Saccharomyces cerevisiae S288C: one gene and its partners. Changing the gene in region 2 together with the main gene of any one other region gives a genetic interaction. Each region holds a gene or a part of one and is shown on either strand. Other genes may lie near its edges.

Region 1 (7,232 bases), on a different chromosome or scaffold from region 2:
ACTACTACTCCTACTTCTGCCAAAAATTCCGCTAAGACCACTACTTAACGTTTCTTTGGCAGCCAAGAATGAACTAGAGCCCCCGCCAGAAAAATAATAGCCATTATTATTCGCTGAACTGACGTGCTGGAATGATGCTTTATCAAATTTTATGTAAAAGCTTTGGAAAAGACTAGACAATTGCAGTACTGATAGTGGCCGTACGTACTTTGGCTGCTTTAGGTCATCAATAAAAATGTCAATTAATTTTGATAATTCTGGAGGTAAATTGGTGACAGTGTTCAACGCTTCGTCAATTTCTTGTTTTGTCAATATAGGAGACTTATTGTTTTCTAGCCTTTCTCCTGTTGTAGAGTTTTCATCACCATCACAGCTACTTCTCTCATTGTCATTTTGATCCTCATGTAGATTTTGTTGAAATTGCATGCCGCCAGTTGTGTTCTTGTATGATTCCCTGATGGATTGATTAGGGTCAAACCTTGGATTGGTTATCGGAGGAGTGAATAATTGTCTAGCCATTTGACTTTTATTGTTAGAGGGCGTACTTCTTTTTTATCTGCTCTTCTTCTTGGCTTCTAAAAATACCTTTTGCTCTAAGGGGAATGATGATTTTATGAGTGTCTATAAAGCCAATTCTCTTTCTGCCCAAGATATTAAACACCACACCAATCCGAACAAAATTCAATAGACGAACAACAGTAAGTTTTAATCTATTTTTGCTTCAATGATGCGTTTGGTTGGGTCTTTACTGGAAATCAAATAAGGCTCGGTTATTTGCACACTTTTTTATCCGGGAACCGCTCTTTTACGAAAGCAAATTTCAAAATGTATGTAATACGAAGGCATTAAATTATTCAACAACGGCGCTCGGATATGATTTATATTACACGTCTAGAACGATTAGCAGATAGTAAAACTAGTGGCACGTTTAAATGACTTTTTCATTCCATGAGTTCCCGGTTTGCAAGAAGTAATGGCAATCCCAACCACATTAGGAAAAGAAATCATTCTCCAGACCCAATAGGAATTGATAATTATAAAAGAAAAAGACTAATTATAGATTTAGAGAATTTATCCTTAAATGATAAAGGGCCCAAGAACGGACATGCAGATGATAACAATCTTATTCATAACAATATAGTATTCACAGACGCTATTGATGATAAGGTCCTGAAAGAGATCATCAAGTGTTCCACAAGTAAACGCGGCGACAATGACTTGTTTTATGACAAAATATGGGAACGTTTGAGAGAAAAAAGGCTACAAATAATAAAATGGGTAGATTATAAGGAAATTGCTTATCTAAGCTGGTGGAAGTGGTTCCATAATCAAATGACTTCGAAATACACTTATGATGGAGAGGCTGATACCGATGTTGAAATGATGGCAGTGGATACTGATGTGGATATGGATGCGTAACTTACTATTATTATAATATACCTATGTACAGGGCGGTTATTTATTTACACGTTCGTAGTATAGCATATAAGCATATTTCTGTTCATTCAAGACAGTTGAAGCGGTAGATTCCTTTATGGCGGTATCAGATATTTGCCAATAAGGATACCGCAGGGCGTTTTTGACTTTTTTATATCTGCTTTTTTTGTAATCATTATGTGCAACGTTTTGCTCGCGATTCTTGTTAACTTCATTGTTGACAACTGGTGCTCTTCTGAAGGAAGATTCATCCTCCTTCCCGAAACGAATTTCAGTCTTGCGTCTGTAACACATATAGTGTCCACTCGAATGAGAACCGGTGTGTTTCACAACACTTTTCAAATTATATTTGACTTGCCTGTTTTCTGTTATTGTCCCACTCTCAGCCAATGTATATTCAGAAAGTGTTATTCTTTCTCCAAATTTGACATTGCAGGGATTTCTAGAATATGTAATACCATTGAATGTGGATCTCGATAAGTGAACAATTAATATGTCTGGCAGTTGTACTACTACATCTTTTTTGATGACCTTTCCCTTTATATTAGATACCTGCAAATTGCCCTTTGAGTAACGCTTGACGTACTGTTCTACTTCGAATGGTAAATTTTCGTTAATTGGGGCTTTAGTGGCATAATTTTTCAATCTGTCCAACATTAAAATTTCATCCGGGGTACAGTCCTTGAAATTTCTATATTCTTCATGGTTTAAGATTGCTCTTATTTGGCAGATCAGGCATGAATAGTCGTCTATGATTTCTGTTTCATCGTGTGCTAGAATATTGGATAGATTCTCTGATGTTTGTTGTGGTACGGACAGTTCGCGGATGAAAGTCTGTTTGTATGATGGTTCTGATAGACCCTTGCATTTAAGGCATACTAGAAACTTGGAAGTCTCGCCCTCAAATGGAAACTTTGGTATATTCAAATTACATATCTGTTTACTGTAATCGATCAATTTTGATCGTTCTTCCTGTAATGTTTGTAGTAATATTAATGTAAATTCATGTGCATCATTTTGTTTGGATGAGATCTTTGATTTAAAGATGGACTCTAATGTGTTTATCACTATTTTCGGAGAAATTGACGTCTTACGATCTTTTACAGATATCAAATCCAAAATTAAACTGGTAAGACTTTCGTGTAAGGGGGCAAGTGAATTAGACGAGTTTTCAAGTCGACTATGCCTTGTAGTGTTATCAACTGTAGGATTGTCGCCTTTTGCATTATTTGACAGCTTAGTTTCTAATTCTAGAAGGACCGTTCTTATCCGTTTCAAATATTCTACAAATCGAGGTATTCCAGCCAGGCCTTGCAAAGATGATGTTATGAAGCAATCATTCCCACGATTAATTAAGCCCACTGTCGTGTACTTCCCAATACTCTGCTTAGAATCCCCAAAGACTAGCGCACTTAGGCTGGGTGCAATGGCATATAGAGAAGCAGCAATTATCAAACCACATGAAACTTTTTTAATCAGTGAAGTCGGAGATTCTGTTACATTTTTTATCCAAGACATATTGTGCTTGTAGTAACTGCTGTACCTTGCATATACTGTTTGGGCAGAAGGAGAAGGTCCAATTAGTTGTTGGAGGGTATGGCGCTAACGGTCAAGTGTTTTATAGCTGGACTTTGCTTTCCCATTAACTCAAACGTGTATATAAATTGAGATTGAAGAAGAAACTTTGAATCTAGGTTAACTGGGTGCTATTGATTTATTTTTTTTATTTCACCCAAGTATATTATTTTGTTTTCTTTTTTTATTTCATTTTTTTGGGGCCAATATAGTAAGCAAAAATCCGGAGAACTGTATTGAATATCGTTCTGAGAAAACTAATTGTAAATAAGAAAGAAAAATATCAAATCATAAGGGAACCGAAGTTAGTTTTTCTTTGATAATACATAGAAAGTACATAGGTAATAAAATTAGATCAGAAGCAAGAAGTTGAAAGGGGAAAATTCCTTCTCATACCTTTCTTTGCCATTAAGACGCTCCCTCTCGTTCAGGAACCATTACTACCGAATTTACTAGACCACTCCTCATATTTTTGTAGAGATTCTGACGACACGCTCTTTTTTATTGTCAACAGAGCATTCTGAAAATCTTTTATTTCAATTCCTCTGATTTTATCAAAATCCGCAAACATCAACTTATCTCCTAAATCTCTAATAGGTTCCATTGCCGCTTCTTTGGCTAATGACGTAAGATCAGAACCAGAAAACCCCTCGGTCATTTCTGTTATTAATTCATAGTCTAAATCTTGCAGGCTATTTTTCTGCTTGGCCATTAATCTCTTCAAATGATATAGTCTAGTTTCATAATCTGGTAAAGGAATGTATAGTTTCCGTGAAAATCGTCTTCTTGCTGCATCATCAATCGCCCATGGCAAATTCGTTGCTCCTAAGACAAGTACTCTGCTGTCAAGCGTATTATTTCGGTCTTCCGATTGTGCAGTAGCACTAGATAGGGAGGACCACTGAATAAGAAGTTCTGTTTTAATTCTCCTCGAGGACTCATTTTCATTATCAGAGCGAGCTGTTAACATAGAGTCAATCTCATCTATGAAAATAATTGAGGGTGACAATTTTTTGGCCATGTAAAACAATGCTCTAACCAGCTTCTCAGATTCACCGAGGTATTTCGATAGCAAAGAAGATGCACTTACACTAAAAAATGTGGAATTGGACTCTGTCGCAACCGCCTTAGCAATCATTGTCTTACCTGTACCTGGTGGGCCGAACAAAAGCATACCTCTAACAGGTTCTCTTAGCCCTTTGAATAAGTCAGGCCGCAGAAATGGGTAAACCACTGCTTCTTTCAAAGAATTCTTCGCATTCCGTAAGCCTGCGATATCCTCCCAATAAACTTTTTCATCCGTAACAAGAATTTCATTAAGTATCTGTTCACAAGCGTTTCGATCTACTCCCTGCACTGATTTTAATATATCCTCCTTTCTGGAATCGAGGGATGAACTAGCAGAGCTTTCCTTATCGGGTGTACCACTTTTAGAACGCATGGGTTTGGATTCAGCAGGTACCGCTGTCGCTGAAACGAGTACTGGTGAACTAGGCTCCAAATTTTGCTCATTCCTACGAGAAACTTTGTTAGTATTGGATTTACTAGCCTTCAGCTTGCTATTTGTGGGTATATTCCGTGAAGACTTGCTGTTTTGCCTGTTAAGAGTAGGTGATTTTATAATCGGTCGATTAACTGTTGGCTTTTTGTAGTCATACCTTTTTTTCAAAGGTGGTGTTGGCTTATAACGTATCTGAAGTTCATTTGAATGCGATCCGTTGTTACTCACTTTTGAATGATTTGCCCCGTTTTGATACTGAGACCAGGCTAACTGCGCAGCCATACCTATTTCTGCTGCCTCCATTGATTTTCTTACTGGCGTTCGTACTCTTTCGCCTGAAGTCCGTACAACGTCAAGTGATCTTCTTTTAATTAGGGAGTTGTCAATCTTTCCAGAAGATTTGCTACTGGAAGAGAAGTTGTCGAGGCTAGCCCTTGATTTGTAATTTGTTTTCCTCTCATGTTTCAGGGTTGATATACGTTTTTTCTCCGCTTGTTCTCTATGTTTGCGTTCTTCTTCCTCTCTCTTAACTCTCTCCTCCTCCAACTTTTGGGCCACTTCAAATTCGACCTTTTCTTTAACCTTTAACTCGATCAATTTTTCCCTTTGAAGTTCTAAGTCCCTCTCATACTGAAGTTTTGCTCCTAACTTTTTCTCTTCTTCTAATTTCCTAGCACGTCTGATATTATCAGCCTGTTTGTTGATTTTAGCCTCCTTTTCGTCAGCTTCTTTCAATTTATCTCTTTTGGAACCCATTCTCCAAAGTTTTGGAAAACGCAAACCATTTCCTGTCCCAAGGCCCAAAACGGAAGAGGAGGATGACAAAGAGGGACTACCGTTTCCTTCGGCCATAAGCGTTTCTGCTTTACGACGTGCGATCCTTATATCCTGGCCAAGAATTTGGAAATCCTCAATGATGCTCCTCAATTCAGGATGATCAACTACAAGATTTCCTAACCCTTTCTTTAAGGTATAAGTCTTTTCAATTTTTCGTAGACCTTCATTGACGTATACCAGTAAAGTGTCTAAGTTTTTGTGGATTTTCCCATACGTTACTGTGTCCTTATTACCTTTGCTATTGATTATTAGGTCTGCTAGGTTTTTATATTGATTTTTGACAACAGAGTAAAGCAATTGCAAAGACTGCGCTAATGTGAAGTTCTCAGGTATACTAAACTTTTCATGTGCCATTATCCTAGACTTTTTTGTGTTCCCTCCTCGGACTTTTCTTCACCCAGGGTCTTACCTCTTTTGCTAATGAGATTAATGTTTTTTCCATCTTTCAAAATTTCGGATAGCCCATCTATCCAGCGGGTTTTCTCAATTCGCCAGGGTCTTTGACAAAAAAATTAAGTTTTCGTAACCCATATAGTCAGTCATGAGAATATATATTTAGTCGTTGATGGAAAGACATTTAGGAATTCCCACATAGGCATACATCCGCATAGGTATGTACACACATAAATCTATATAAATATTAAATAAGTATATATATTTTCTATAAAGGTAGTAATAACCTAATGACATTTCTCGTTATCGTCGCTTCGTTATTTTGTTGAAGGAACTATTGTCGCGGACAACCTCAATAAACTTAAGATGGTGTATTATGTCGCCTTTTGCAATACTTTAATTTCTCTTCTTCTGTCATTGATCTAACGTTCCAATTTTTAAAGTTTTCAAAAATACAAATTTCCTTGTTATTTTTCGTTAAATTTCTAAAGTACAATGATAGAGAATTCAGAGTCAGACCGTTATTTATCCTGAACTTTTCTAGGTCCCCTACTAAAATCTTCCGTATATCCTCCCTCGGTTGTTGAGGATTAGTAAACCTGCCGAGTTTTATGCCACGATCACATTCCGTTTCAATATAATCCATAATAATTCTTCTAGTAGGAAAAAAATGTGAATCTTCGCTAACCTTCCACCTTCGCCAGCCATAATTTTCAATCAATTTTTTTATTGAAGATTTACCGTTCAGACCAATATACCACTCCGCATATAGGTCCCATATTGTTTTATTTTCTCTGGACAGCTTGTATTTGATTGCCTCGTTTGGCCCCGCCTTCGTATCCTTTTTATTTATAATTTCAAACTTAGAAGAACTCTGCGGAAATGATGGAGCTGTCTTTGTCACTGTACCACTTGAATTTGCAGCCTCAGTAGAATTATGAATATTAGAAATTGGTACTGGTTTGTCAGCATCCGTACCAAGCGGATTACTGTTTTTACCATTTTTCTCAGGATCTTTCGATTCTGGGCTGTTATCATTGGGCTCCGACTTACTTGACTCTGGCGGTTTCTCCCTATCAACATCATCACCAGCTACCTCGGTGGGACTTTCAGGCATGCTAGTAGTGGAGTCGTTGTTTGGAAGACGAGGTCGTTCAGCTAGTTTTGAAGAAGATGATGGAGAATCTTCATTTACCTTCTTAGAGTTATTTTCCGTTGTTGAACTTGAGCTACCACCAACTACAAAATCTGGAGAATGCTGAAACTGCTGAGGTGAGCGAAAAGATTCCGTGACAGCTGTGTTAGCCAACGTCGAAAGGGGTAATCTAGGGCTTGAAATGGATTTTGTAAGTAAGGAATCAAGAGCCGTCTGAGACGGAGTTGGTTTATCGTCTAGTTTAAAGCGTTTGCTATAGGGAGACTCACCAACGGGTGATGGAGAAAAAGGACTGCCTGTTGCTGCAGAGGCTATTGAACCTGGTAACGGTAG
Region 2 (5,714 bases):
TCTATACGGCGTCGTCCCTGGAAAAAAAAAACTTGCCTACAGATCTTAGTAGACAAATTTAACTACGTCAATCTATTGTTCTGCTTAAAAAAAAAGTTGAAATTGTTAAATCCTCAACAAACTTATCGCTTTTCAAGCTGCTGCAATCATAGATCTTACACTTCTACACAGAATTTTTTTTTCCTGTAAAAAGAACGACAAAATATATAAACCTTTGACAATCTAGCTGCATTTACTCACATTAAGCCTTGAGATTTTCATTTACTTCATAATAGCTTGTAGATGCGATGCTGATACAGTAAAATAAAAATTCAGTAATACAGTCAAATTATTGCGATGAATTTTAAAATACTCCTCCCGATTTGTGCTTTATTGACACTTACAACATTTCTGTTGACCATTATTGCAACTGCGGGTTCTACCTCAAATTATAAGCCAATAACGAACATTTATATCGGTGATGCTGATATATCAAAAATCAACGTTACAAAAGTTATGCCACAAGTTGGCCCAATTTTGACTGTGTTAGGTTCTGCTCTAACCGCTCCAAATACAACGGTGGATACCATCTTCGGCGCTCTTAAGGCAATCGCTTCTACCGAAGCCTTGTCTCCTTTACTGCACTTGTTGTCTAATGCTGCTAACACTTCAGCCACATTATCATCTTTGACACAGTTGGCTCCAATGGCTTTGCTAGGAACCAATACCGCTACTACCACGACCTTCTCCGCTCTTGATGAGTTATTGACTACCTCTAAAAACACAACCGAACTCTTGGATGGGTTTAGCACATTGATGTCATCTATGTCAACCAACACTTCTTCTACTTCGGCTTCCTTAGAAAATACTGTTCTAACCCTATTAGTGGATTCGACCAATCCTATAGGCACTACTGAGTCTTTGATCACTTTAAATAATATGACCACAGAAGAAAAGACAAAATTGTCGCCTGTATTCGAGTTATTCGCAAGTTCCAAGAACATTACTGCCACATGCGATGCGTTAGAAACCATAATGAACTCTACCATTCCAACTTCAACGGTCTCCTCATTGTTTTCTAGTCTAAAAACCAGTCTTGCGGAAGGTGGCAATGCTACTGAAACTATTATGCAATTAGGCTCCCTCGTTCCTTCGAGTTTAAAACCAGCTGTCCAAGCTGTTGTTACTCTGTTTGATGAAACTACATCTCAAAATGTAACATTATCCGTATTGAGCACTATGATTGCCGAAAACATTACCCAATCATCTTCCGCTAAAGCTGCCATGGGTGCTTTGACTGACTTGTTGAATTACACTACAAACCAAACAGAGCTGCTAACATCTGTCGAAAGTTTGGCCCTCTCTAAAGAAGCCGCTTCCTCTACTAACCAATTGGTGGCACTTGATGAAATCCTTTCTGCAAGTGCTAACGCATCCACAGTTGTTTCCATAATCCCTACTTTGGAATCCCAATTGGCCAATAACACCGTATTACTTAAGTACGTTCCATACTTGTTCAGCCTATTAGCTGCGTCAAGCGACCCCGTGTCAAGTTTCTCTTCTCTGGTTAATATCACCAAATGGGCAGAAACTAATGCCGCTACATTTATGCCCATGTTGAAAATTTTAAACTCTGCTGTAAACATGACAACTATCACACCAGAACAACTCAAGGAAATGACTCCTTCTATCCTTGAATATCTACACATCCCTGTCATATACCGTTTGTCCATTTTCACAATGTGTCGTGCTCACTTAAACAGAACAATGTACTCGTGTAGCAAGTCACACGCTGTTCAAAACATGGATTTCCGGTCGATTGTTTACAACAACATTGAAGGCTCGGACTTTAAACCTTATATGGATGCCCTGAACATCGGTAAGGACGATTTGCATTTAGATGGTGAATTACAAGACAGACAACACATGTATGTCCCAGCAGTGAAAGCAGCTTTAGCTATGAACTTAATGTGCATAATCACATCCTTCTTCTTAATGGTATTCTTGTTGCTACTAAGTAGACGTTCCGTGGTGAGTCAAAAATTATGGTTGGCATTGGGCTTTATTTCCTGTTGGATATGTATTTTCAGCGGGTTGGGAAGCACAATCTTTAGCGTCATCCTTAATATGATGAAATCCGGCTCCAAGAAGGACAATTACGATGTCATTATTTCTGGCTCTTCTCCATTTTATGGCCTAATGTGGTCTGGATTTGTATTTGCCGTCCTTGTATTTCTCTGCATTGCATACTGCTGGTGGAGCAGCAGAAAGGGAGCTGCCATCGTGGAAGCTGAGAAAGCTGTTCAAGAAAGTGACTCTACTACCTCAAGAATCATTGAAGAACACGAAAGCCCCATTGATGCTGAAAAAAACTTTGCAAGGTAAAATAATAAAAAGAAGATCATGCAACATCACCCCGTAAATTTTTTCAATTCTCCATCCTTTTAATTTTCTTCATTATAATTTTCTGAATTGTATATAGACAATATATTTTAATCATATTTAATATGAAACGGAACACAAAAATTAATTAATAACCTTGCCTTTTTCAAATTCAAATCAATGGTTTTTCCTCAATTGGAGCGTTCGCATAGATGACGGTGGGCCTCGATCTCACGCTACACCATAGAATGAAATTCAGTAATGCTCCAACGACAGCCCCCCACATCAAACCCTGGTAGTTCCTACCAATGCTCATTGAAATACCGTAATCACTATAGTTATGCTTTAGGATGTATTTGATGTATGAGTAAGTGCCCAAACACGAACCTATACTGACTAATAGGGCGGCAAAGGCGAAAAATGAAAAAAAGGCACCAAACCACGTTAGCGGCCTTATGTGGATGATCCAGCGCAATACGTTGAACACTAGATTCACAAAGGTCAAGACAATACCAATAAGAATGGTAATGAACATACACTTGACCAAATTGTTGTAGTATGTCATTTTACTTTTTAGTTTTTCGGGCAAAACAACACTGGCCACGGAATCCATAAGCTCCAGAGCCTCATTGTTGTTGATATTGTCATACACTAATGACGATAGGTTAAAATTCTGGATACCGTGAGGCGAAGAACATGATTGGATGTTATGCGAGGAGTCCACTGTACAGTACGACCAAAGCCCTATATTTATATATGAGGGCAGGCCCAACGAAGATAGCGTAGCAGAACTCAAAGAAGGGAGCACCGTCGATACCTTCATCTGCGACAGATCCAATTCTGCACAGTAAATTTTATTTATGGGACTGTAATTTTTCGTTGATCCTGCGCATGCAACAATGGCTAATATAAGTGCTCCTAGCGAAAATATAGCTGCAAAAAATAACGTGAAAAAATTCCTCATGCTTATAGCGTCCTTCGATGATGTGTTTGTTTTTTTCTTAATAGTTCTCTATTGCTTTAATCAAGTTTCACTACTGCGCAGCGTTGTATGATCTTGATCTAGTTTCTTTTAGTTCTACTTCCAAACAACTGGTCCAGAATGAAACACCACTGGACACTCATTGACTACTGAGACATGGAAGAGCAACATTCTCGCGTATATATACTTCTCAGCCAATTTTCCTGCGAGAAGCGCTAAAAATACCGAGCTGGGCTTGGCTGATAGTACGCCCGATTTGGAAATAACGCTCGAGGCGTGCTGCGTCCTTTTTTGCCTGGCCAGGCCAGGCCGGGTTGTCCCGCACCATTCAACGGCGGCTATCTGGCGATGTTGAAAGAGGGGGGGAGTGGAGAGGGCTCTGAGGGTCAAGTGGGAGGCTGTGACAGTTCTCATAAGCTGGGCACTGAGATACATGGAAAGAAATAGGCTGTTCACAGTGTACGTCAATGTGTGGCTGACTAACCGTTAGCGGGGCGGAACCGACATGTCTGGTGCAGTGTATGTAAGAAAAAAAGAATGACAATGCATGGCCAAACTTTTGATCTGTGACGTTCGCAAAACGCACTACTTTGCTTTCTGTATGCAATGGGAATGAGGCGTAGCGACATATTAAGAAGCCTTTTCCATGTGAGGAAGCTTCGCCTTGTTTTCCAGACGCGCTTTTTTTAGGATCAACGAAGAGGAAAAAGGGTTTCACATGTTTCATCTGGAAAAGATGGAGACTGAAAAACAAAAAAGCAGAGAAAAGGTCATCCAAGATAGAATAGGGGACCTCGGCTAGGAATCAGGAAGTGTGTTTTGAAAGTCATTCTTTTTTTTTCAAAAGATGGAGTACTGGCATTATGTGGAAACTACGTCATCGGGCCAACCTCTTCTTCGAGAAGGTGAAAAAGATATCTTTATCGATCAGTCCGTAGGTCTTTACCATGGCAAATCTAAGATTCTACAGCGACAGAGGGGCAGAATCTTTTTAACGTCACAAAGAATTATCTACATCGACGATGCAAAGCCCACTCAGAACTCGCTTGGGTTGGAATTGGACGATCTAGCGTATGTAAACTATTCATCTGGCTTCTTGACCAGATCACCTCGTCTGATCCTGTTTTTCAAGGACCCCTCCAGTAAGGATGAACTTGGTAAAAGTGCGGAAACAGCAAGTGCCGACGTTGTTTCGACGTGGGTCTGCCCCATCTGTATGGTTTCGAACGAAACGCAGGGGGAATTCACTAAAGACACTCTACCTACACCCATTTGTATCAATTGCGGTGTGCCAGCGGACTATGAGCTCACCAAGTCGTCTATAAATTGTTCTAATGCAATCGACCCGAACGCCAACCCACAGAATCAGTTCGGAGTGAACTCTGAGAACATTTGCCCCGCCTGTACTTTTGCTAATCATCCTCAAATAGGAAATTGCGAGATTTGCGGCCACAGATTGCCTAATGCATCCAAAGTACGATCAAAGCTGAACAGGCTAAACTTTCATGATTCTAGGGTCCATATTGAGCTAGAAAAAAATTCACTGGCTAGAAACAAGAGCTCGCACTCGGCATTATCGTCCTCGTCCTCGACAGGATCATCGACAGAATTCGTGCAATTGAGTTTCCGCAAATCTGATGGCGTATTGTTTTCACAAGCTACAGAGAGGGCTTTGGAGAATATACTCACTGAAAAGAATAAGCATATTTTCAATCAGAATGTGGTTTCTGTAAATGGTGTAGACATGAGGAAAGGGGCTAGTTCTCACGAATACAACAATGAGGTGCCATTTATTGAGACTAAATTGAGCAGAATTGGCATATCAAGCTTGGAAAAATCTAGAGAAAACCAGCTTTTGAACAATGACATTCTCTTTAACAATGCGTTGACCGACCTAAACAAGCTAATGTCGCTGGCTACCAGCATCGAAAGACTATACAAAAATAGCAACATAACGATGAAAACCAAGACATTGAACTTACAGGATGAATCAACCGTGAATGAACCGAAAACGAGAAGACCGCTATTGATACTTGATAGAGAGAAGTTCCTAAATAAAGAGCTGTTCTTGGATGAGATTGCGAGAGAAATTTACGAGTTCACGTTGTCCGAGTTTAAAGATTTGAACAGTGATACCAACTATATGATCATAACTCTGGTAGATCTATATGCAATGTACAACAAATCTATGCGTATAGGTACAGGCCTGATATCTCCCATGGAAATGAGAGAAGCATGCGAAAGATTCGAGCATTTAGGTCTAAATGAATTGAAGTTAGTGAAAGTTAACAAAAGAATATTATGTGTAACGAGCGAAAAATTCGACGTTGTAAAAGAAAAGCTAGTAGATCTGATCGGTGATAATCCTGGT
Region 3 (6,907 bases), on a different chromosome or scaffold from region 2:
AATGAGCTCAATAACCAATATACCAACATGGAAAAACAACGAGCCAAAGAAGCCGGTAATCTTGAAGATTCTGAGATGACTGCCAAGCAAGCCAAGACAAAATTTATTTATGAAACCCAACAGAAAGGTTTTTCTGGGAAAGAGGTTTCATATATCCCGCTTTTAGCCATTGATGCGTCACCAAAAACATGGTTAACTGATTATGGCGTATTTGGGAAACGAGAATATTTAGAAAGGGTATGGGACTCTATAGAATGGAAAATTGTAGAGTCAAGGTTACCTCAACGTACTAAGATCCAAGCATTCAACACGTTATGAATGAAACTGGTAATGGGAATTTTTTCCTTTTGATATAAGTTGGTAGTCTCTGTAAATATATAAAGTCAAACTATTCGTAATGTGTATATAACGTGGTCTTAAATTATTTTTATTCGTATCTCTCCCTTTTATTTGCCTGGCTTTGGTGTCTCATAGCTTCTTTTCTCTCTTTTAAGCTCACTTTACTGACTTTTCCTGCCGACCTTTAGACTTTTTACTCTGCTCAGTAATTTGCTGCCCGTCGATTTCTTTTTCATATTGGGCTCATTGTAGCGCACACCCAAATAAACGTCTTCCTCATCTTCATTGTGATCATCTTGGCCGTCGAAATCAGTAGTATAATTGGACTTATGCGTTCTGTTAGGAGAATTAACGGTTTTCGACCTTCTAACACCTTCATTGCTGTGACCAACATCATAGTTGTCTCTACTTAAACTCAAGTTTCTTCTAACGCCTGTCATGGGGGCATTGCTATCACCGGATCCTCCGAGACCTAATCGTTGAGAAAGTGACTTATTTCTTTGTAAACCACCGTTACGATTATGATAGGAATGGGCTTTTATGTCGTTTCTAATGGCAGCTGAGGAGGCCGGCGCCCCATCTAAAAACGTACTAGAACCTAATCCCGCAGTAACTGGCCCATGAACCAATTCTGTCTTATTTTTGGCATCCATTTGTTGGACGTTACCCACGTTTGCTTTTATTGCGTCCTGCGTATCACCACCTCTCCTTAGAGTCTGCGAACTGTACTGGTATATATCAGAATCATCTGTATCATCTCTCCCAAAAACCTCATCCAGGGCAGACTTCTTGGTTGAAGCGCCACCGATGGTACTGTTTGGACCATCGACCGGAAATGCTAAAACAGGCGCAGCTTTGTTATTTTTATTTCTATGAGGTGTTACTGCATCGAATGGGCCGTCATGATGAAATGAGCCACCGAACAATCCAGTTACATCTAACTTATCGATAGTATCGACGTTCTTAGGAACAATAACCTTACTTTTTCTCTTTCCCTTCTTAGAAGGCGTTGAAGATGAGGAAGCTTCACGGTGATGGTGGGATGAAGATCTGCGTGAAATATATGTGCCGCTGTTGCTATGTTCGCGGTGAGAAGAAGGACGAGAAACCTTTTCCTTTGGATATGCACGCCTTGATCCATTGGTTGAAGTGATCTCTTCGTATGAGGGTGGTAGGTCAGTGTTTTCTCTTGTGTTACCTACTGTACTTACGTCACTTTCCTCCAAATATCTTTGCCTTAATTGTTCTTTTTCTTCTTTAGCAGTGGGATGATTTTTATTCCTTGAAACAGGTGGGGGAGACCTTCTAAAATCGGTTGCAGAACTCACATCGTCTAGGAAAGGATTCTTTGAGGAAAGAGGTCTCGAAGGTGGTGATAAACTACCACTACTAAAGCTCTCCAAACCAGAATAAAAAGCACCCTGCTGATCTGCGTTTCGCTGGGGTTCATCCTCTGGAATGTTTGGGAATGATAATTGTGAAGAAGTTCTTGTGTTCAATTGTGGCATATCAAATGAATTGGTACGAGATTGGTTTTTCGCCCACTCCTGAAACTGGGAGTCATTTTTATACTGATTAATACTTGAATCAACTGTGGCATTTCTAAACGGGTTATTAACAGAAAATGGCCTACTAGAGGTACTACTGTTTCTATTCTCCATGCTAAATCTTGCGTATATGTATCAATTTTTCTAAAAATGGAAAATGCTGGCAAAGTGTAATGGAACCTACAATGTATCAACAATTAAGCAGTCGAAGATTATGGTAAAATGACGTTACGTGTTCGAAGGGATAGGTCTGCAAAACACTTAAATTCCTCGAATAAAAATAACAATAAAAAGAGCGAGGTAGATCGGATATATTTCGGATTCTACACACTATAAAATACAAATTAGAAATTTTACAGAGTTACCTCCCAAGAAAGAGTATCTTCATTTTCTAGTGAATAACCTATCGCCAGTCACCATGATCTGCTGTTGAACCAACCTCGAGGCGGGAAAAAAAACAAAAAAAAAAGTAACGCGATTTACGCTCCGTGCACGACGATTCTTTGAGATGGCTGCCAATGGTTGATCACAAGTACTAGCTTCTACACAACTGGATAAGAATGACGCATATATACTTTTAAGTATGTTGTTATTAAATCTGCTATATAATGATGTTATACGTGCATTGGTCAAGGAGAAAAAGGTTTTATGTTATGAACTTTTGTTAAAACCATTCAAAGAACAATAAGTATCGAGAATATCGAAAGTAGTAGCAAGGAAGCTATACGAGTTACATGTCCAGCTGGATCTTTGTTAAATGTATAAGGACTGCTCAATCGAACGCCTGCTCCCGAAGCACTGCTGGTTCTATTAGTTGAATTTGACCACTCTTCTGAGGCTGACACAGAAAAGCTGTCGAATTGAGTACTGGATGGTCTAGCACTTGTGCTTGCTCTTGAAGTATCATAGAATGACCGGCCCGCACCTGTAATCACACCGTTTGAGTATGCTGCTGTCAGTTGACCTGGGACAGTGAACATATAGCCTGACCTATAGGATGGATAAAGAGTCAAGTTTCTTGTATTACTACTATTCATCACTTTTGCGTAAGGAATGTAACCAGATTTGATCTTCTTGATGATAGTGGACGCGGTAGTTTCATTTGTCTCTTCAGTAACTGCGTCATCTTCAACCTTCTTTGCCTGTGCAATGGCTATAGTGTTATCCTCTAAGTCCATTGCCATATATATATTTTTTATGAAGGCTTCTCCGAGTATGTTTACTCCAGTATTTGTATTAGCGTATAGTGTTAGAAAACAAGCTTCCTGTCCAGAACTGAAAAACATTGAAGAATTGGTGGATGTATCGTAAGTAGATGATAATAAATCACGTAGGGGTATTTCAATTGTCAATTCTCGAAGCCTGAAACCCAAGGAGACACCCATATCTGCTATAGAACATTGGACTAGCCACCTATCTAGTGATTCCACATAAGTGGCCGCAATTTGAACGGCAATCTGAATAATGGTACTAGTTGGCAGGTAACTGACCGAAGAAGTTGAATCAAGTAAGGCTGGGCTCAGAAAGTCCTTCGAAGTCATATTCAAACTTTGTCCGCTGTTAGACACAATATAAATAGGGCCTAATGGCACAATTGGGTACCCAACACTAACAGCATTACTCACTGGGTCAACGTAAGGAATTAAGTCAAATTTTCCCAGTGTACCGGTAAACAGCGAAGGATCCACCCCTCCAAGAAGTAGCTTCCCACAATTAGATATTGGATCTCTATATGTTTTGTACGTGGAAGTGTCTCCAGCCAACCACAGTGAATATGACGAACTTTCAATGATATCTGCATCTTTCAATAAGGATAGAAAATAAGACTGTTCTGTGTATTGTGAGCTATCGATAGCATTGCCTGGGTTTGTGACCTTCCCGCTTAAACCTAACAAGCCTGAAGTCTTAAAGTTCGAGGACTGAATATCAAAGAAGGAAACGTTTGAAATGGATAGGCTCCCCGAGTTAAATTGTACGTTATCTCGAGTTACCATTAAATCGGTTATCAAAGCGGTCGAGGAATTTTCTGAGGAAACATTTGTAAAATTCATATCGTCTGTCACCAAAGTACAGTTAACAGCTCTACCATCAATGAAAGAAATCTCATATATTTGGCCAGGAGAAACAGGAACAGATGATGTAGAGTCATTCATGAGGTAGCTGGGATGCTTATGATATACACCGGAGTATTCGTTATGACTTTCGCTTGTTCCGGAAACCAGATTTATGTACGGTTGGATAATATCCACTAGCAAACGTTGGCGTTGACCGGGAGTGCCAAATGTGCTATTAACATAGTAGTTTCCTCTACCATCTTTACCCACGGCTAGTACAGGAAACGGCTCCTCCGTTGACGAAGAGGTTCCAGACTTTGCTGTAGTTGTTGTATTTGCAGTACTAGCCGTTGCAAACTCTAACTGAAAAGTTGATATGAGCCACAGATACCATAAAATTAGGCATGTCATAGCAAAAATCAACGGCAAATAAAGCAAGCACGCAGTTACGATACGTTCAAAGATCTTTCCAAGTTCTGTATCCTTCTAGAACGATTAGTCTAATGCAACTGATATGTCCAACATTCTAAATATAACTTATTTTGGTATTAGCTGCATCATTCTACCATGATGAGCTGCGGCGTTCAATATCTCATTTTTTTTTGTTCGGGGTAACGAGGTTCATTGTTGCAAATAGCACGACCAAACGAGCGGTATGATACAAAGCACTGCAAGTCATAGCTGAGGTAAAAAAAAAAAGAATGAAGATCTCATTGTTTGGGTTAAATTACTTTCAAGAGCCTCTTTTTTAGGCTCGGTTGGTTAAAAGAGCAAGAACCGAAACACTAGTGCATCAATTTTTATAACAATTTTGTAATTATGTTGATAATTGGCAGTAAAGTTACAAAATACACACTAATTAAAATATTGAACACTTACAATATAAAGCTGATATCAAAATAAATATCGAACAATAAATACAACTCTCTCCAATATCAATATACTGCCGTCGTTATTTAAAAAATTAGCCCACCTGGGAACATTATAGAAAGAGATTTGTTTTTTGGTCTGGCAATGTGTCATAATCAAGCTCTTTGCAATATACATCCCCAACTCATATATTTGTATACAGGAAGAAGAATCGACCACCATCTATCGACTAGCATATTATCATATACGGTGTAAAAAGATGACATAAAAGATGAGAAACAGGGTAATCCCAACAATTGTCTCAATATTTACCTATTTCTCACATTGTCACCGCTCGAAAGTGCATTTTATATACGTTCTTTTGTGACGACTACTTTTGGCGGGAATCTTAGCGCCTTAAATGCAGTGAAAGATTACTCTTTTGAGTTATTGCCTGAATTTTGTCTGCAAAATTGTTATTATTCAGGAATTTAGAATAATTCAACTCTGGAGGCCTGCGCTGTACTACGGGCTCAAGTAATACCGGAGTGTCTCGACAATCCTAATATAAACAGTCTTAGGGAAGTAACCAGTTGTCAAAACGGTTTATCAGATTAATTCACGGAATGTTACTTATCCTATATATTATATAAAATATGGATCATACTAAATGGTGGAAGCGCGGAACCTTGGATCTAAACTGTTGGAATAAGAATCCACTATCGTCTATCAACTAATAGTTGTACTATCAATATATTATCATATACGGTGTTAAGATGATGACATAAGTTATGAGAAGCTGTCATCGAAGTTAGAGGAAGCTGAAGTGCAAGGATTGATAATGTAATAGGATAATGAAACATATAAAACGGAATGAGGAATAATCGTAATATTAGTATGTAGAAATATAGATTCCATTTAGAGGATTCCAATATCATCGAGGAGAACTTCTAGTATATTCTGTACACCTAATATTATAGCCTTTATCAACAATGGAATCCCAACAAGTCTCTCAAAATACACCCATTTCTCATAAACCAATTGTTCAGGCATTTATACGTTTAGATAGCCCAGCTATAGAAGGCGGAGTTTTACCTCATGTTGCTCAATCTGTTCGTTTTCTTAGGTTTCATATGTGTTCTATGAACGTTCAGGATAATGTATTGTCATGCTGACGTATCCCATTCTGAGATGTAACGTCTGTACAAAACAAAGCTTCAGTAGCTCAGTAGGAAGAGCGTCAGTCTCATAATCTGAAGGTCGAGAGTTCGAACCTCCCCTGGAGCATTTTTGCCGAGCACGGTACTTTTTTTTATTCTCAGTAAATGAAATCCAAGGGCTCATTTATTTGAGAAAGTAAATAAGGTATTAGAGGTAATAAAGTAACCATGGGCCAAGAAGACATATTCATAAACTTATGAAAAAACTTTGTAGGTATTAATAACTTATGGGTAAATTACTATCTATGAATGAATATTTACTATTTACTAGTGCTCATCTGGATATTAATTTAGACTTTTCAACGTCTCTCTTATAATATTTGTACATTTATTAACATCATCATCATTAAATCTAGGCTTGCCATCTTCTTCGAACATATCTTCGTCAGTAAACAGGGTGCTATCAGTAGGTTCTTTAATGTTATTATTTTCCACCAATTCCGTCAGTAAAGTTTCGTCAAAGTTTTTGGGAAACGGCCAGCCTTGGTCTTTTATTATCTGTATCAAAGCCATATGCCTGATTTCAAAGCCCCCGAAGAGTATCTTATTGTACCAGGAGCGTGCTCCTTTTTCGTCTCTCATTTTGACATAATGCATTACCATTGCAGAACAAAATTTAAACGTTAAAGGCACCCCATTTTTATGCATCACCTGTAGCAATTCTGATAGTTCAGCCTGCGTTAATGTATGATTTTTATAGGCTACTATGGAAAAGGGACATAGCGTGGTAGTTAAAACCACTTTTTTGGCGAAAGGTTGAGAATAAAAATCCAGAAGAACATTGTAGGCCAGCCTTGGTTCACGAGCTTGGAATCTAATATAATTTAGGAAAACATTGAGGATTCCGGTATCATTTCTCCAATACCTGTATTTATGAGCTTCCTCGGAAAGAAAACTC
Region 4 (5,523 bases), on a different chromosome or scaffold from region 2:
CCTCCCTGGAGATAATTCTAGCAATGGCCACTGGAATGAAGAGGAATATATACTAGCATCAAATTCAAATCCCAGTATGGGAACTCCAAAGGAAATACCTCTCTCGAAACCAAGAATTGCGAATTACTTCTCGAAAAAAATAAAATCTTCAATACCAAACCAGAACCTGAGCCGTAACTTTGCTTATATAACAGTTAATGAATCGAACAGGAGTTGCTTAGGGTTTCCAGACGAATTTCCCAACCAAGTCTATATTGCCTCTGATGATGGAACCTTCAGTATATATAGTATTCCGTCAAAACCTGGTGAATGTGTGCTGACTAAAAATAATAAATTTACATAATGCATATGTGCAGTTTTCATAATCTTAATAGATATTGTACGTATTCACGTGTGAATTGCTAAAGAGGGTAGAAATCTTCAAAACAAGCAATTTGAAAATATTTACATAGGCAATGGTACATTCTAGAAACACGAAAAGCCAACAAGATAACTAATTCTCACCAAAACCATCTCCTATACCAAGGCTTCATATGTGTTGATTCATTACTGCCCTTTCCCCTACTAGTATTGTGGGTTTTATCCTGTACAATTAACTCATTTAATTGGTGTTCCAGGATTTCTACCTCTTTCTTTAGCTGACTTTCTCTCTCCTCATGCTCTAGTTTCCACCAAGAGAAGTGAAGCAGTAAATAAACGGAAGATCCCATTAGAATGAACATCCAAAGAGGCCTAATAAATCTTTTTACAGGGATCTCATGTCCTGATTCTTCCTCTTGCGAGAATTTTTTGAGCATATCTAACTCCTTTTTGATATTTAATTTTGTAGTATGCTCATTAATCAAATCGCGTATCAGTTCAGTATCAACACCATCCAAAGAATCCAAATTAGCCAAGTCTTCTAGGCTCTTGATTTCTTTCTTCGGTGACGTTGAAACAGCTCTTCGTTGTTGGTTGAGGAGGCGCCTGTGGTAATAGGCAACGGTTGTTATGGGAAACAATTTAGTTCTACTCAAAGTAATGAGAGCATTAGAGCGTCTTTTTAACATATTGTCTATTATATGCTTTGGTTCCCATTTCCTTTCTCAAAGTTTACAAATATAACAGAGTGCTTAGCGAATACTTTATTTTATGAGTCTTGCCGTTAGTGACCCCACCCAAAATAAGATGCAAACCGGTATACATATTAGACATTTCCCACGTATACAAATATATTAAGTAAATAAGCCTCGTCGTGATGAACTTAAATACATGGTATTGAGAGAGTTATAAACAGGTAGATAGATATCTTAAATAAAAATAAGCAGATAAGTAACAATGTTTAAGAAAACGATGGGGAAGCGTAAATATATGCAAAATTTCCCCCTCAGTCCTTACGTATACCGTATTTGGCACGAAGCTTCCACATTTCCAGTCTTGCCTGTTGCTGTAGGTTCAGGTTAGGATGGGACATTGGACTACTTTCACTATCACTTCTGATTATAGACCCGATGGACATAAATAGCCCAAAGGTACCCGCTGAACCAGCAATGTATTTCCCTAGTGTTCTAACTACACCATCAGGACCTGGGCCTTGAGTTGCGATGGCAAATCCACCAAATAGGATGCCTGTGCAGACACCGACGGTAGTACCCATCATCAACCCCATTTTGAATTTGTCCCAATTCGAAGGCTGCTGTTGCGCATAATTTTGTGGAAGAGGAGGCATTATATCTTAATATTGGACTTGAAGCTGTTGCGCTATTTGTGCTATATGATCTTGTGTGGTGTTCTGTGCTTCCTTCTTATGGAAAAGTAGTGGAGTCTGTTTGGTAATGTTGGTCTTGTTCGGGAGTTTTGAAAAGAAAATAAAAAGTGGTTGGCTCATAATGTTAAGAAAGAATTTCCAGTTTCCGATTGAACACAGCAATCTACAGGTAGACATTGTGAATCATGCTCGAATTACGAAGTTGTAGTAATTTGGTCAATAGTAGTAGGAGACTTGTGCCTCTGGTGACTTATTCCGGACTAAGTGCAATAACATTGCCTAAATCTCGATTTTATTCACAGCCTAGTGCTTTAGAAGTACAGGGCACATCGGATTCTCGAAGCGATAATATTTTAGACGAACTCAAACAAAGGGGTCTAGTGTCCCAGGTCTCACAGCCAGAGAGTTTCCTTCGGACGAAGTTGAACGGTAACGATAAGATCAAATTATACTGCGGGGTGGATCCCACAGCTCAGTCACTTCATTTGGGAAATCTAGTTCCACTAATGGTTTTATTACACTTTTACGTAAAAGGTCACGACATTGTCACTGTGATAGGTGGAGCTACAGGGAAAGTTGGGGACCCAAGTGGTAGGAAAACAGAAAGAGACGTTATGGAGAACGATATTAGGCAAAGCAATGTGGCATCCATCTCGCAGCAATTACAAAGGTTTTTCAAAAATGGCCTAGAATATTACAGAAACCGATGTGCTCTCACTGAAGATGTACCTTCCGGAAAATATACACCAAGGAATAATTTCAACTGGTGGAAAGACATCAAAATGTTGGATTTCTTAGCTGATTTTGGTAGGCACATTCGGGTACAATCTATGTTGGCGAGGGATTCAATTTCTTCGAGGCTTCAAACCAAAAATGGTCTGGGATTTAACGAATTTACTTACCAAGTTTTACAAGCGTACGATTTTTACCATTTGTATAAGGAAGAGAATGTGACTATACAAGTAGGTGGTAACGACCAATGGGGAAATATAACAGCCGGTATCGATCTCATCAATAGGATACAGCCTATAAAGAATAAGGGTTTGCCATTTGGTATCACTGTGCCCTTGTTGACGACGGCTACAGGAGAGAAATTTGGGAAAAGTGCAGGCAATGCTGTTTTTATTGACCCCTCAATCAATACGGCGTATGATGTTTACCAGTTCTTTTATAATACTTTGGATGCTGATGTACCCAAGTTCTTGAAGATCTTTACGTTTTTAAACTCAAGTGAAATCAAAAAAATTGTGGAAACGCATATCAAATCACCCAGTCTACGTTATGGCCAAACTTTATTGGCTAAAGAAGTCACAGATATGTTATATGGAGTTGGCTCCGGATCGGATTCAGAAGCGCTTTCTAATATTATTTTTGGACGTTATGACGGAACTTTATCTGCTGCGAAGTTAGTTGATCTATGTAAAAAAGCCAGAATTTTGCAGTATGCTGATAGAGAGATTGACTTAATAAAGTTAATTTGTAAACTAGTAAATTGTTCAGTATCAGAAGCCAGAAGAAAACTTTCCCAGGGAAGCGTGTATCTGCATCATTCAAAATCTAAAGTAAACGAAAATATTTCTAACTTGGCTCCTTTCCTGATAGATGATCGAGTACTGATCTTGAGGATAGGAAAGCAGAAGTGTTTTATAATAGAAATGCGTTAAAAAAAAGGGAGGTATATAAAGTACATGTATAAAATAGGCATGCGTGAGGTGATATTATATCATTTTATGCACTGACTTGTAAATAAGATTATAAACGATTATTCATCTTTACTACTTGCGAACATTTCACTGTCACACCAGGCTATGAGGGCCCACAGCCAGAGAGTCGCAGGGCATAGCAGTAATACACACCAGTAGTGCAGGAAAGAGTCATTGTTGCGTAACCAGTAAAATGTAGCAAGACTAATTAGGAGTACCGAGTAAGTAAACCCTAAAACCAAAAAGCCTTGGTCACGTGGTCTCATGCGCTTATAAATTCTCAATCATGTAATTGAAACAGTCCTGTTGCCTAGTTTCAACTGTTCTATGCTTCTTGATGTTTTCGAAACTTTGCGTAGTGTAATCTTCCTTGTATTGTAGCGAAGAAAAAAGGATGCGTTGGGAACAGATATAGAAGACGTAAAACAACCTGAAGAAGGTAACAGGTGGAGTAGCAATGGGAGAGGTATACGAAAAAAATAACATAGATTTTGATTCAATAGCCAAAATGTTGTTAATTAAGTATAAGGATTTCATACTGTCTAAATTCAAGAAAGCTGCACCTGTAGAGAATATAAGGTTTCAGAATTTAGTCCATACAAATCAATTCGCACAAGGAGTCCTAGGTCAGAGTCAACATCTCTGTACAGTCTATGACAATCCTTCATGGCATTCTATAGTCCTGGAGACATTGGATCTGGATCTAATATATAAAAATGTTGATAAGGAATTTGCCAAAGATGGGCATGCAGAGGGGGAAAATATATACACGGATTATCTAGTAAAGGAGCTGCTTCGCTACTTCAAACAAGATTTTTTCAAATGGTGCAATAAACCAGATTGTAATCATTGTGGCCAGAACACTTCAGAAAATATGACACCTCTGGGCAGTCAAGGGCCCAATGGAGAGGAATCTAAATTCAATTGCGGAACTGTTGAGATCTATAAATGCAACCGATGCGGAAATATCACTAGATTTCCTCGTTATAACGATCCAATTAAGTTGCTGGAAACTAGAAAGGGAAGATGCGGTGAATGGTGCAATTTATTTACTTTGATTTTGAAGTCGTTTGGGTTAGATGTTCGCTACGTCTGGAATAGAGAAGATCATGTTTGGTGTGAATATTTTTCAAATTTTTTGAATAGGTGGGTTCATGTCGACTCCTGTGAGCAATCATTCGACCAACCATATATCTATTCAATTAACTGGAACAAGAAAATGAGTTACTGTATTGCGTTCGGTAAAGATGGCGTTGTTGACGTTAGTAAACGCTATATCCTCCAAAACGAGCTGCCCAGAGATCAAATCAAGGAAGAAGATTTAAAATTCCTTTGTCAATTTATAACGAAGAGGTTGAGGTATTCGTTAAATGATGACGAGATATACCAACTTGCATGTCGCGATGAGCAGGAACAGATAGAGCTGATTAGAGGAAAGACACAAGAAACGAAATCCGAAAGCGTCAGTGCCGCTTCGAAATCATCTAATCGTGGTAGAGAAAGTGGATCGGCGGATTGGAAAGCACAGCGTGGGGAGGATGGTAAATAGAGAAATAAAAGAACAGATTATTATGTGTAAGGAATTTTATCTAAGAACATATTTATAAAACTAACTCATCAAAGCTGCCCAAGAACTCGGCAGCTTGCTTTGTTAACCAGGAATTACTTTCATTGTCGAGATAAGCCAAATGTCCACCCAAGTCAGTCTCGCATAACAACACACAAGGATTTTCTCTAGCTTGTTTGTACGGAATTACGTTTTCACCTGTAACTGGATCATCCGTTGCGTTGATTATTAAAGTTGGGATTTTGATATTAGGCAATCTATTTATCGAACTGGCCTTTCTATAATATGTTAACCCGTCCGGCAGGCCCATCGATGGGGCAGTGAAAAGATTATCGAATTCTAATATGTCTGTAAATTTTTCAGCCTTTTCCAAATTTTCTCTGGTATACGTATAAAAGACTGGTTTCTCAACTGTCGGTTTGTGCGAAACCTCAAAATTCTCTGGTACCTGCAACTCATTCATATTAACCTTGACAGTCCTTGTTAGAAATTGTGTTAAAGTTCTA

What was found.
Region 1: mutations in YLR415C (region 2) and YTA6 together harm fitness more than expected from each alone (negative genetic interaction), as found in Saccharomyces cerevisiae (one large-scale study listed by BioGRID).
Region 3: mutations in YLR415C (region 2) and PAL1 together harm fitness more than expected from each alone (negative genetic interaction), as found in Saccharomyces cerevisiae (one large-scale study listed by BioGRID).
Region 4: mutations in YLR415C (region 2) and INA17 together harm fitness more than expected from each alone (negative genetic interaction), as found in Saccharomyces cerevisiae (one large-scale study listed by BioGRID).

Annotation. Positions count from the first base shown.
Region 1 is NC_001148.4:414,235-421,466, reverse strand, and holds YTA6 (putative AAA family ATPase YTA6), read right to left. Parts: upstream 5,705-7,232; coding exon 3,440-5,704; downstream 1-3,439. Other genes in the region: guanine nucleotide exchange factor MUK1, read right to left, coding at 1-519; YPL071C (uncharacterized protein), read left to right, coding at 949-1,419; putative ubiquitin-specific protease UBP16, read right to left, coding at 1,456-2,955; transcription regulator GCR1, read right to left, coding at 6,105-7,232.
Region 2 is NC_001144.5:950,820-956,533, forward strand, and holds YLR415C (uncharacterized protein), read right to left. Parts: upstream 3,779-5,714; coding exon 3,440-3,778; downstream 1-3,439. Other genes in the region: INA1 (Ina1p), read left to right, coding at 337-2,364; PUN1 (Pun1p), read right to left, coding at 2,534-3,325; ESCRT-II subunit protein VPS36, read left to right, coding at 4,191-5,714.
Region 3 is NC_001136.10:1,169,826-1,176,732, forward strand, and holds PAL1 (Pal1p), read right to left. Parts: upstream 2,001-6,907; coding exon 501-2,000; downstream 1-500. Other genes in the region: mitochondrial 37S ribosomal protein mS43 MRP1, read left to right, coding at 1-318; YPS7 (putative aspartic endopeptidase), read right to left, coding at 2,561-4,351; ATP22 (Atp22p), read right to left, coding at 6,295-6,907. UniProt on the Saccharomyces cerevisiae protein: Involved in the early step of endocytosis.
Region 4 is NC_001148.4:363,020-368,542, forward strand, and holds INA17 (Ina17p), read right to left. Parts: upstream 1,050-5,523; coding exon 501-1,049; downstream 1-500. Other genes in the region: ATG21 (Atg21p), read left to right, coding at 1-343; MGR2 (Mgr2p), read right to left, coding at 1,367-1,708; tyrosine--tRNA ligase MSY1, read left to right, coding at 1,933-3,411; ERI1 (Eri1p), read right to left, coding at 3,510-3,716; PNG1 (peptide-N4-(N-acetyl-beta-glucosaminyl)asparagine amidase), read left to right, coding at 3,908-4,999; EEB1 (medium-chain fatty acid ethyl ester synthase/esterase), read right to left, coding at 5,052-5,523. UniProt on the Saccharomyces cerevisiae protein: Component of the INA complex (INAC) that promotes the biogenesis of mitochondrial F(1)F(0)-ATP synthase. INAC facilitates the assembly of the peripheral stalk and promotes the assembly of the catalytic F(1)-domain with the membrane-embedded F(0)-domain.